Caenorhabditis elegans: one gene and its partner. The protein of the gene in region 1 purifies or fractionates together with the protein of each later gene. This does not show direct contact. Each region holds a gene or a part of one and is shown in the gene's direction. Other genes may lie near its edges.

Region 1 (4,517 bases):
ACAAAACGTATAAAAGTTAAAGAAGCTTTGTTTCAAAGAAACTTTAGCTGCGGAGCTCAAGTATGAACACTTGAAAACGAAATCTGAAACTATTTTCAGTTTCAGGAGATAACTGATAATTTCTGAGTCTATAAAATATAACTTTTATTATACGACTTTTTAATTCCAAAAACAGGCATGTTCCAATTCATATTTCGGTTAAGATCCACGTGCTATTAATAAACCTACCTGTCACAAGTATCTCGTAATGCCAAGGCTGTTGCCATCATACTGTCATCCAAAGTGTGAGCACGTAGCAGAGCAGGGCTCTTTTCTAGTCGAGAAAGTGTCTCGATAAGTTGCTTCGGAGCGTCATAATTTGAATAAATGTACACGAAATTATCCCAGCGCCACAGATTTATAAGTCTTTCCATTAGTTGAGAATATTCCATCGATGGATACAAATTTAGTGATGTTTGTTGTTTTCTGAAAAAGCAAGTAAACATTGCTAATACTTTTTAAAAGCTTTTATCAAATTTAAATTTTAAAAAATGTTACTTTTGATATCCGGGTGTCCAGTAATAGTGGATAAATAGTATATTCAACTCTGCACATTGCTCTTCAATAATGGATCCACTCTCTCTGTCGACAACACCAATAATAACACTGACTTCTGAGTTTGCGAGATCGCATACTAAAAATCGAGGAGAAAAAATGTGAGAACTTTTTCCATTACCTTACTTTTTGTGTTCAAATCTTCGTGCGAATTTTTCAGTGCAATAAAGGATGTGTGAGTGATAAAGCAAGCTCCTCGCGTTTTCACAATTTGTTCATTGATTCTTGGTACTATAATATTCACGGCGGTTCGTACAGAATGCTCCAAATGGTGACTCGTTATTAATCCTTAAAATTTTTTTTGCTGATGAAACCCAATTTGATTGCCTACCAATCCGTATTGATGATACACCTGTTCCTAGGAAAGATAATAGTAGAAATCTGAAGATGTTGAGCATTTCAAATGCATTTGTTCAGCAAGTTCTTTCATTTTATTCTTAATTGGTTGATGTGTAGACGATAATTGAATTGACTGATTTTCCCATAGTGTTGTCACAAGCACTAAAAGAACTTTGATTAGTGGGCGTTGAAAAAAGCAAAATACAAAGTTCTAGCAGAAATTTGAAAGATAAAAAAAAATGTTAAATTAAACATTTAAGAATATTTTTCAATGTCTTTTTTTAAAACTTTTATTAAAGCTTTTTTTAATAAATTAAAAAATAAATGTCATATTTTTGTTTTAAAACATCGTACTTTTTCCAGAAGAAAACAATCTGTACATTTGCACCTTGTAAAACAATTCCGTCTTCAATAAAATCGATACTCCCGCCTGTGCCGGCCAAAAGATGGGAAGGAAGATGGAGAGGTAACATGTGCAATTGCGCTCCATTGAGAAGGTCTCATAACGAAGAGGCAAGTCTCTGGGAATTCAAGGCGGTACACATCTCATTTACGGGTAAAAATACACTAATTTTTGCTTTTAAATCAACTTATTAATTTGTTTTAAAACTTTAGATATTTTGCCGTGTTTCTCTGAGTGTTTTCCGTCAATTTTTGTTTGTGTCAATGAATTTTCGTTTCAAATAACGTTAATTTTTCAGAATGGCTGCTCCAAAACTTGGATTTTTTGAGAAGATCGCCAACCTCACTGGGGCTTTGTACCGCCACCAACATGCTCAATTTCCACGTCGCTTCGCTATTCTGAAGGTACAGTTTTTTGTCTCTGTGTATTTATGTCTTTGGACACCGTCTAATGTTGGAAATTTAAAAAATCAAACACTACAGGCCGTAGGAAAGCACGAGCTTGCTCCACCACGTCAAGCTGACTGGCCAGCCATCAAGGCCGATTGGGCCAAAGTCCAGAGCTTCATCCAGACCGGAGGATACAAGAATTTGAGCATTAGAGTGAGTTTTTGTTAAATAAAAAAGTTAAAGTTAAAAAATATACTTTATGAATAGTTAGCCAGAACATTTATACTAGACTTTCACATTACCATACTAAACGTTTCAAACATTAAAGTGTTGCTCTATATATAAATAAACACAACGAATTCACTTGATATTACTAATGCAAATTTTTATTCATATTTGGTTATCAAAAACTTCAAAACGATGAAATTTATTAACCGGAACGTTTATTTTTTCAGGAAGGACTTGTCTACACTGCCGTCACTCTTGAGGTTGTCTTCTGGTTCTTCGTTGGAGAAATGATTGGACGTCGCTACATCTTCGGATATCTTGTAAGTTGTCATGCATTATTTTTATTAGTCATTATATCGTATTGTAGGTTCCTGCTGATTACGTTTCCAAGTCCACCAAGAAGACCGTCAAAGAACAAGAGGCTCTTGCTGCTCTCGAGAACTAAATTGTTATCCTTATGTTTAGCGGCTCGTTTTTGATATCGACAAATTTTTGATAGATTTATTTTGGAGTTTGTAAAATGAAGTATTGATGAAAAAAATAAATATAAAAATTTCTAATAATTTTTGATAAAATTTGGCTGTGTTTTGAGAAACATTCAAGGAAGACATTCTGAATGCAATAAAAATTAATTTAAATTAGAAACTTTTAGAGTACGCTCTAATAAGTTGGCATATGTACATAGATGCATGGGGAGTATAAAAATAAGAATAACATCTACACCGTAGTCAATATTTTATAAGTATATTCGTACAGCAAGTGTACTAAAATACAATTTTCACAAAGTAAATTTTTTAAATTTGAAATTGCATTTATACAGGAGGGAATAATCCTAAATCGATTTTTTTTTGAGAATATCACCAAAAGTCTGGTGTTTCTCATAATTTTCCGATTTAAGGGTAAACTTGGTCCCCTGTACCACCCCTTTATAACTTTTCTGCGCGCTTACTCATCTCTCTATTTCATATCAAAATATATGAAATAGAGAGATGAGAAAGCCACAAAGTTATGAAAAAATCAAAAAAAAAATCATGTTCACTAACCAGTGACAAAATGCCTTTCACATTCATAAAATTAATTTCACCGCACATTAGCAATATTTTGGCATATTTACAAATTTATTTCAGTGAATTATGGCCGAAATCAGTTGCAAAATAAATATATACATGTATGCATACAAAAAACTAGTTGAGAAAAGGTTGTCACTATTGATCCTTGCCCCTATGATACACCCCACTATGCCTACTGGATCCTGTGAAATTTTGAATACTTCGTTTCCATAGAACCCTAGTCACCCAAAAGTTTGCCATCTCGGAAGAAAATTCTCAGATTTATATATTATTCAGTATGCAGGTCTCATTAGTTTTGCAAGCTTTTTCTTAAATGAAAATCACACTTTCTCCTTTCTTTCATATAATGATTTTATGTAAATTCACCAACAGTTCATGTTATCAATCCTAGTTCATGAACAGTTGCACGTCAACAAATATTTTCAAAAATTAATTACAGTGCCGGACATAAAGGTATGCAGAAAAGGTTTTTCGTGAATTTTTTGTGAAAGTATTAGGTCTCCAAATAAGTTCCGGGTCAAAAATCATAACTTTTTTTGCCTTTTATAGATTTTTTGAAACTTTGGGAATTCATGTTATCAACTATGACCTTTCATTTTGAAATAGTCACAAAATTTTTTGACCACCCGGAGTGCCCTAACTCGAAGCCATTTTTTTCAGGCATTTTTCTGATCTCGCTTCTTTGCAGCTTTGAACTAAGGTTTGTGTGCGGATTTTACTATGTTTAGAATACATCGTAGGAAATCAACAAAAGTTTGGAAAAAAATCCGTCCAAAAAAATTCTTTTTGGTCGGCCGTCAAAAAAACTTCAAAAAAAATTTCTTTCGAAAGTTTTTGATTTTTAGTATAAAAATGATGTAACCATGTGTAAACTATTTTTAAACATACAAAACATTTGAGTTTGAAAATTGGATCTCGAGAAATACTCAAAAAACTCAAAAATATTCTTCGAAAAAATTATGTTTTCTATTATCATTTGAGTGTGACGAACTTAGTTAAAATGTTTTGTATTTGTAAAAATAGTTCACACATGACTACATCATTTTTGTATGAAAAATCAAGAATTTTCGAAAAAAAATTTTTTGAAAAAAATAAAAAAATTTTTGACCACCGACCAAAAAAAAATTTTTGGACTGATTTTTTTCCAAACTTTTGTTGTTTTCTTACAATGTATTTTAAACAAAGCGAAGTCCGCACATAAACCTCAATTCAAAGCTGCAAAGAAGCGAGATCAGGAAAATGCTTGAAAAAATTCCTAGTGGTCAAAAATTTTTGTGACCATATCAAAATGAAAGATCATAGTTGATAACATAAATTCCCATAGTTCCAAGAAAATCGATAAAAGGCGAAAGAAGTTATGATTTTTGACCCGGAACTTATTTGGAGACCTAATAATTAAAATCGATTCATTTTATTTATCTAAACTCCATTCCATGTAGATTCCACCAAAAAAAAATTCGCGTTTGGTGGCTGTACTTGCATTTTTTTTAATCG
Region 2 (7,773 bases), 8.3 Mb from region 1:
CCTGAACTATCCTCCTCTCCGAATTTCTCGTTAAATTTCAGAAGGCCTTCCCTGAGAAAGTTCTCCATAAGTTCTGCCAAATTCTTGTGTTATGCACAGTTCCACTCCGTGTTGGATGTTATTTGGACGATAGTTTTCTAGTCATTGAGAACTTGCTAGTGGTGTGCATTGTAATCATGAGTACTTTGCATTTTCTTTTTTATTGCAGGTTTGTCTTTTAGAAGTTTGAAGATACAAGTTTGAACTTATGACAAAGTTTTTCAGAAGTCTTAAATTTGTCGGGCCATTTGTGTTGATGGTGTACAAAATTATTGTGAGAGATATGCTGCGATTTTTGCTTATATACTCGTTTTTCTTAATGGGATTTGCACAAGGTGAGTGTTTTCATAATTTCAATTGTCGAAGTATTTTCCAGCATTTTTTGTTATATTCAAATCCTGTGAGAGAGCAGAAATTGCTTATCAGAAAGCTCATAACTATACTGAAGACGATGAATATATTGAGAAGTAAGAAAACATTTCTTATCACGATTTTATACTACCTAATGTTTTTTAGATTTGAAAACATCATGGAAGATGGTTGGGAGGCAGTGATGAGAATGTTTATTATGAGTGTGGGAGAATTTGGTGCACTTTATAAAAACTTGAACGAGTGCAAAAGCAGCATTGCTCCACAGTCCAAGGTTACAAAAAAAGCTCTTTTCAGGCTTACAAGCTCGTTTTAAGGTATTTTTCATCCTCTTCGAGTTAATTGTGACTGTTATGCTTCTGAATCTACTAATTGCTATGATGACTCGTACTTATGAGAAAATTGCCGAAACTGAGAAAGAATGGAAGCGTCAGGTGATTTTTTTATACTTCAACATTTTATTTTCAAGTTTCACCATTTTACTTTCCAGTGGGCGCAAGTAATTTTAATGTTAGAGCAGTCATCTTCAGCCTCGGAACGCCTCCTATCACTTTATCGTTATACTCGGCCAATACGTTCCGATAAACGAAGAAGAGCATTTGTTGTGAAAGTGAAGTCGAATGTAAGTGAATCTATAAATTTTCCCTAATTTATACTAGAATTTGAAAAAAATTAACTTTATTTCTTATTGTACAAATTTGATGGCAAGACTTGGTGATTCCCGAATCCTATTAAAGGTTGTGTAGTCGAATATTTTTAATGCTTTATTAGACTTGAAATTGTCTGAAAACACCGAATTTCATAATGAAACTTCTTGAAAACTTCTCAAAAAAAAGTTATGACGCGTGAAAAAGTGACCTAAAATTAGTTAAATTTTGAAATTTGACCGACTTGCCTATGTCGCAGCGGCTGGAAACAATTTTTTTTTGAAATTACCGTCAAATTTTGAATAAACCGTGTAATTATCTTGTGTTTTCAACTTTATTTAGGTACTTTAAAGTCGATGGAAGGCAAGATTTGGTTTAAAATAATTTAAAAATCTCGCCGTTATTCTAGCGAATTTTGGGCCATTTTGTGAGCCGTCATAACTTTTTTTAAAAAGAAGTTTTCAAGAAGTTTCATTATGAAATTTGGCATTTCCAGACAATTTTGAGTCTAATAAAGCAATAAAAAAATTCGACTACACCACCTTTAATGTCTTCAGAAATATCCTAACTTGGTTTAAGCACATTTTGTTAGTTTTGTAAAAATTATAGGAAAACATAATTTTTGCTGAAACTGAAAAATTTGTAATCAAACTTTTCCTCTCGAAAAAAACCTCACAAAATTTATATCATTTTTTTAGTTTTCAAATATATTTTTTCAGGACCGCCAGCAACCACAACTCAAATTAATTCCACCGCGTGGAAAACCGTCAATCCGCTTGTCAAACAACAGTTCCATTCATGTCTTACATGTTCTATCAAAACATGCTTCGTAAAAACTAAAAAAATTTCAATTATTCGTTTATTAATTTTTGCCGTAATAAAGTGTTCATAGTCCTCGTCGTTTCATGCCATTTGGCCAGTGACGTATGTGCGCACGAAACGCGCAAGCGAGAAGGGATGCGTCAGCAATGAGTCGGGAAAGGCGTCTCTCATTTTTTGGACCTATTTTTGTGAAAAATGAAGTTATTTTTAGTTTTCCATTTAATATTTAAACAAAAAATGAATAAATTTGATAAATTATGCACTTTTTATAACCGTATTGTTCAATTTTACCCAATTTTTGAAAATTATCTAGTTTTTCTTTGAAAATCTAGTTTTTTCAGAATGCTTAGCCGCAACATTGGAGCTGTTCGCGGAGCCCATAAGGCAGCAACGACAAAACCAGTCGAAAAAGTGGCCAAACTTGGAAATGGATTGACCGTTGGAACTATCGACTCTCACAAACCAATTGCACATTTGGTTTTTTTTTAATTTGTTTCTTCTATCCGAAATCATCTTCAAATTTTAGGTTCTTGCCTTCAGAGCTGGAAGTCGCTACGAAAAAGCCAACCAGGCCGGACTCTCTCATACCATCAGAAATTTCGTCGGCAGAGATACCCAGGAATACTTTGGAAACACAGTTGTATGGACGTTGTCACAGACCGGAGGAGTTCTGGTGAGCAAGAAAAAAAAATCGATAAAGTTGAATCTACTGGGCGTTAGAAAAGAACTAAGAATTTTAATGTAAATTTGAAGAAAGATTGCATAATACATTCACAGTTTTTTTTAGAAAAGATTTGTTAGAAAAAAAATTTGGAATTAAGTATTTTGTATCAAAATTTCAGAAAAAATGTGGTCTAATTAACTTGGAGCAAAATTATCAAATTTTCATGAGCATTCCAAAAAGTCTCACAGACATAGCGAGGGTGATGTTTCAGAAATCCTTCACCTCCCGCGATCTTTTCGGAGTCTCCCTCACAATTCCACGCGAAAGCACTTCCGTCGGACTTTCCGTATTGGGACAAGTCGCTGGTAACCCAGGATTCAAGCCATGGGAAGTCGAGGATGTGCTGCCAACTATGCGCGCTGACAACGGATACAGAACCGCTTACGACTTGGTTGTTGACCAGATTCACAAGGCCGCTTACAGGTTTGGCATTGAGAAGCTTTCGAGAATTCATTGAGCAAAACTTTTTTTTTTAGAAATGGAGGACTTGGAAACTCAATCTATGCACCATGCTCTAAAATTGGATCGATCTGCACATCAACTTTGTCCTCATTTGCAGTAAGTTGCTTATTCTTATCTGCAAGTTTTCAATTTTAAAATTTCAGGAGCAGCACTTCGTCACAGGAAACGGAGTATTGTTTGCCACTAATGCTGTTCACGATGACCTTCTTCTCTATGGAGACAATCACGCCCCAATCAGAAGTGGAAACGCTGCGTCCCCATCTTCAAGTGCTTACAAGGTGAGTTCTTGAAAACGAATATTTATTCAGTGGAGTTGGATAACAAAGTCATAAATAATGTCATGAGAAGTGTCACGCATCTACCAACGTCTCTGGTAGCTTCCAGTTTGTGGTGGAGATGGAGCATCGTATCCTCCTGATGGCTGCTCTGGCTTGGCTGGTGGTGGGACGGAATAAGCTGGCTCAGCTGGATAGCTTGGGGATGGGTAGCTCGGAGATGGGTAGCTTGGGGATGGATAGCTTGGAGATGGATAGCTTGGAGACGGGTAGCTTGGTGATGGATGAGCTGGCTCTTGTGGAGCTGGGGATGGGTATCCAGAATCTGGAGTCTCTGGCTCTCTGACTGGTGGCTGTGAAGCTGGTGCTGGACGAGTTGTTGCTGGTGGAGCGCGGGTGGTTGCTGGTGGAGCACGAGTTGCTGGTGGAGCGCGAGTTGCTGGTGGAGCACGAGTTCCTGGAGCAGCAGTGGATCCACGTGGTGGTGGCTGTGGAGCGGATGTTCCAGATGATGGTGGGGTTCTGTCGTCTTGTCTTTGTGGGCATGGGCAGTAGTTGGCATCTTTTCCTGAAACAATTTAAAATGTTTCATCACTGTTTGTTCAAGAAATTCCTAGTAACAACAACAAAAATTTTACCTGGAGCTCCTGGCTTTCCAGCTTGTCCCGGGGTTCCTGGGAAGGCGTCGTGACCAGCGTTTCCTGGAGTTCCTGGTGCTCCTTGTGGTCCCTCCTCTCCGTCCTTTCCTGGCTCTCCATGTTGTCCTGGAAGTCCTGGCTCTCCCAACCATCCTGGCTCTCCTGGCTGTCCAGCTTGTCCTGGGAAGTATGTGGTTCCTGGCTGTCCGTCTGGTCCGTCGGTCCCATCGTATCCCTTTGGTCCTTGTTCTCCTTGATCTCCTGGGGCTCCCTCCTGTCCTGGGGCTCCATCTTCACCGGATGGTCCGGATTGCCCTTGAAGTCCTGGGAATCCTTCTGGTCCAGAGTCTCCATCAGGCCCTGGTGGTCCAGCTGGTCCCTCTGGGCATTTAATGCATCCTCCTGGAATATCGTGAGTGGTTGCAAGAGAGATACCACTGGCTCCACGTCTTCCTTCATCTCCTGGATGTCCTTCGTCTCCACGCTTTCCTGGGTTTCCTGGTGGTCCTGGTGCTCCTGCTGGGCATCCTTGAGAGTTGCTGTCGCAATTGCACATTCCTGGGTACACAAATCTCTTGTTACGGAGGAGGGATGGCACTGGATTGGCAGATTCTCCTGTTGGAGATTGAAGAATCAGGAGACGATCCCAAGTATCATCGGCAAGAACTTTGAACTCATCAACGCGTCCTTCAACTTCGGAACGAAGGTTGTTAATATCTTGAACAATATGTCCAATTGAGCAAAGAGCGGAGAAAACTCCGAGCAAGCAGACGCCTGCCCCAATATAGCCAAGAGTAGACATCGTTGAGAACAATGTTGTGTATTGCTTTGGTGAACACTTTTTTATACATTTTTCTCCGAAAAAACTCGAAAGCCGGCAAGAACTTGCAAGGGCAAGGGGGAGGCTGGGAAAACTTAGAAACTTAGACACGCAACAGATCGGGAAGAACGCGCCGATAAAAAATTACCGGTCCTAGTCGTATGACAGATATCGCAATGCGACGGATATTCAGTATACCTTTGGCATGAAGAGGAAAAAACTTGCTACTATTGTTTCTTTCCCCGAAAAAATGCAATCACTCATTTTGGATTTGGAAATAGAACAGAAAAACTTTGCAAATTTCAATTTCATTATCCACTCCACTGTTTATGTTATCTATACTATCATTTCTCACCTTTTCTGACACCTAGGGAGGAGAAGTGCGCAGAGATGCCGATTCGAAGTACGCGCATGTGATTGTCGCTGGAGAAGGAGCTGCCGGAAACAACACGAAAGCATTGGCCACCCAAGCAGTTCTCCTCACCGCACTTGGAAATTCATCACCAGTCAAGTAATACAAAAAAGGAATTACAATGTTCACACTTGAAATGATTAATTTCAGATTCAACACCGGAACCACTGGAGTCATCGCAAAAGCCGTCGGACAGAATGGATCGGCCAGCGCATTCCAAGCTGTTCATGCGGATAGTGGACTGGCCGGAGTATACCTTGTCGTTGAAGGAAGCCAGGCTAACCAAGCTGTTTCGAATGTAGTTGGAGCATTGAAGTCTTTGAAGGTCGCTGATATTGAAGGTAAGAAATTTTGTTTTTTAGAGTATAAATTTGATAAAATGGGATCACACTATTTTTGTACATCGATATTTCTGAAATTATAAAAAAAAATAAAAATTAAATAAAGATATGCTTCTAGGATGTTCTACAACATTCTATAATAAAATAGTCCAGAAAGCTGCAGAACTTTCCGGGGCAAAACTTTCAAAATTTTCGGAGAAAACTTTTTTCACGACCTAATACTTGACATTTTTGTATGTAGATTTACAATTTGAGCCGCCTTAGAGAAGGGCTTTTGTATAAATATGATTTTTAGAGGCCTATACTGAAAACCCAAAATATAAATTGTGTTCTTGTGGTAGAGTTGAACTTAACTAAACTAGACTAAAGCTAAACTATGCTAACCTTGTCGTAAAATTTAAGCGAAATGGAATATTTCTAGCACAAAACTAATTGCAGATTTTTAGGTTGATGGTAATTTCAAACTACTGTGACGTTACCGACTTAATCGGTTTTTGTATTAATTTCAACTTTCAGCCGTCAAGAAGCAGGCCTTCAACAACGCCTTGAGAGCCTCTGCTCATTCCGACAACTTTGCCATCGAGAGAGCCTCCCAACTCTTCCAGTCCCAAGACAATTACATTCAACAGATTCCAAATGTGTCGGCTAGTGATGTTGAAGTTGCCGCCAAGAAATTGACTACCAAGTTGTCGTTGGCCAGTTATGGAAATGTCTCAGAAGTCCCATATGTTGATACTCTGTGAGCATCTAGTTAAATTAAATGATTTTACTCCAGTAGACGAACGCATTTTGTTATTTTTTGGTCAATTTGTTTTCCGTCTCATATGACTATTTTTTTGCTGTCAATAAAAGGTACTAGACTTTGAAATTTGTTTGTTCAATGAACAAAAAAATAAAGAAATTATTCACGTAATCAAAAACAGACAGAAAAAAAAAGTAAGCTCGAATAAGCTTATACATATACCGAGGGTGAATAAGTGAATTGTAAATGTGAGAGTTAGGCTTTGAAACGTTCGGGAGAAGCGGGAAAGAATGACAACTTAAACGTGTAAAAACATGAAATTCCGTATAATCTAGTTTGGGGTGTGAGCATTGAAATGTGCAGGATAACAACAACAAAAAGGTGGGTTGAAAGAAATCTGGGAAATTAACAGTTATTAGCCGTGACGAACAGAAGCACCGGGGGCTCTGCACAAATGGGCCCGCGATAGACTACAATTAAATGAGACAAGTTCGAAGGAACAGAGTTGAAGGTGGGAAGAGGAGATGACATGAGCTACTGAGCTACTTTATAAGTGTTAAGGCTGAAATGGAAATGAATGTGTATGGGGAAAATTGGGACAAAAAAAGTACAAAAGTACAATGGGTACCCGGACCAGGTAGCGATTATCATGGAGTTAACTCTTGATGAGTAAAGAAATGGAGATGCGAATTAGACTGGCCACAGCGTGTTGGCGGAGCAGCAAGTGTTATGGATGATTTTTCCAATCGGTGTCTAGAAATTATATTTAATTAGTTACTAAGTTTCTCTATTAACATACCTTAATCAAATCATCATCAAGCTTTGCCCAACGGACACCGTAACTGCTTTGAACAGCAGACGCAAGCCGTTCCAGCTCCTTATCGAATCGGACGAAGAAGTAATGAATGGTATCGTCTTTGGTGACCAAGCAAAGCGCAGGCGAGCGATTCCCAAAGAAGCTCTCCTTATCCTCCGGCTGACGAACAACTACCGATTGCTTGACGTTAATACCTCCAACTTCGTTGAGAAGGCGCAAGAATCCATCGGACCAGAACTTTTCGCCCTCTTGAACCAGTGCGATGCAGGTCTCCGTGACTACTGCAAGGCAAGATGCCATGTATGGCTGCGTCGTCTTATTCTCCGCAATCATTGTCAGGATTCTGGTCCATTCGATTTGATCCTCCTGGGTTGGGCACTCAAACTCAAATGTACCTTCTGCAGCTTTCATTTGGAAAGCAACTCTTCCTGTGCTATTGATACTGGAGCCACTGAAAATTATCAAATTATATATATTTTATTGAGTTGTCTAATGCACAAAAGCTGATTTTACTAACCTTAAGCTAATCACCAATTCTTCGGTCTTGCAGGTCGAGTCGGCAAACACATTAAAATTGTTGCCAACAATCATGCAGTACTTCTGCTCAGCCTCGTCGGAGCTCTTAATCCAGTTCCCAATGTTCGATTTGAACAAAAAACCGGATT

Evidence for each region. The genes of interacting proteins can lie anywhere in the genome.
Region 2: the proteins of asg-2 (region 1) and ucr-2.2 fractionate together in Caenorhabditis elegans (co-fractionation; one large-scale study listed by BioGRID). This does not show direct contact.

The regions. Positions count from the first base shown.
Region 1 is NC_003284.9:6,839,624-6,844,140, forward strand, and holds asg-2 (putative ATP synthase subunit g 2, mitochondrial), read left to right. Parts: upstream 1-1,634; 5' UTR 1,635-1,635; coding exon 1,636-1,740; intron 1,741-1,818; coding exon 1,819-1,938; intron 1,939-2,180; coding exon 2,181-2,273; intron 2,274-2,320; coding exon 2,321-2,398; 3' UTR 2,399-2,498; downstream 2,499-4,517. Other genes in the region: glr-6 (Glutamate receptor ionotropic, kainate 2), read right to left, coding at 229-465, 538-673, 721-882, 926-992. UniProt on the Caenorhabditis elegans protein: Mitochondrial membrane ATP synthase (F(1)F(0) ATP synthase or Complex V) produces ATP from ADP in the presence of a proton gradient across the membrane which is generated by electron transport complexes of the respiratory chain.
Region 2 is NC_003284.9:15,171,686-15,179,458, forward strand, and holds ucr-2.2 (Peptidase M16 N-terminal domain-containing protein), read left to right. Parts: upstream 1-2,218; 5' UTR 2,219-2,219; coding exon 2,220-2,354; intron 2,355-2,403; coding exon 2,404-2,550; intron 2,551-2,812; coding exon 2,813-3,024; intron 3,025-3,077; coding exon 3,078-3,159; intron 3,160-3,206; coding exon 3,207-3,341; intron 3,342-3,346; exon of another isoform or gene 3,347-3,421; coding exon of another isoform or gene 3,422-3,906; intron 3,907-3,976; coding exon of another isoform or gene 3,977-4,778; exon of another isoform or gene 4,779-4,796; intron 4,797-5,167; coding exon 5,168-5,307; intron 5,308-5,358; coding exon 5,359-5,549; intron 5,550-6,065; coding exon 6,066-6,292; 3' UTR 6,293-6,460; downstream 6,461-7,773. Other genes in the region: ocr-3 (Ion transport domain-containing protein), read left to right, coding at 42-208, 265-374, 416-506, 556-682, 726-842, 899-1,030, 1,775-1,888; col-41 (Nematode cuticle collagen N-terminal domain-containing protein), read right to left, coding at 3,422-3,906, 3,977-4,778; pkhm-2 (PH domain-containing protein), read right to left, coding at 6,982-7,044, 7,091-7,559, 7,626-7,773.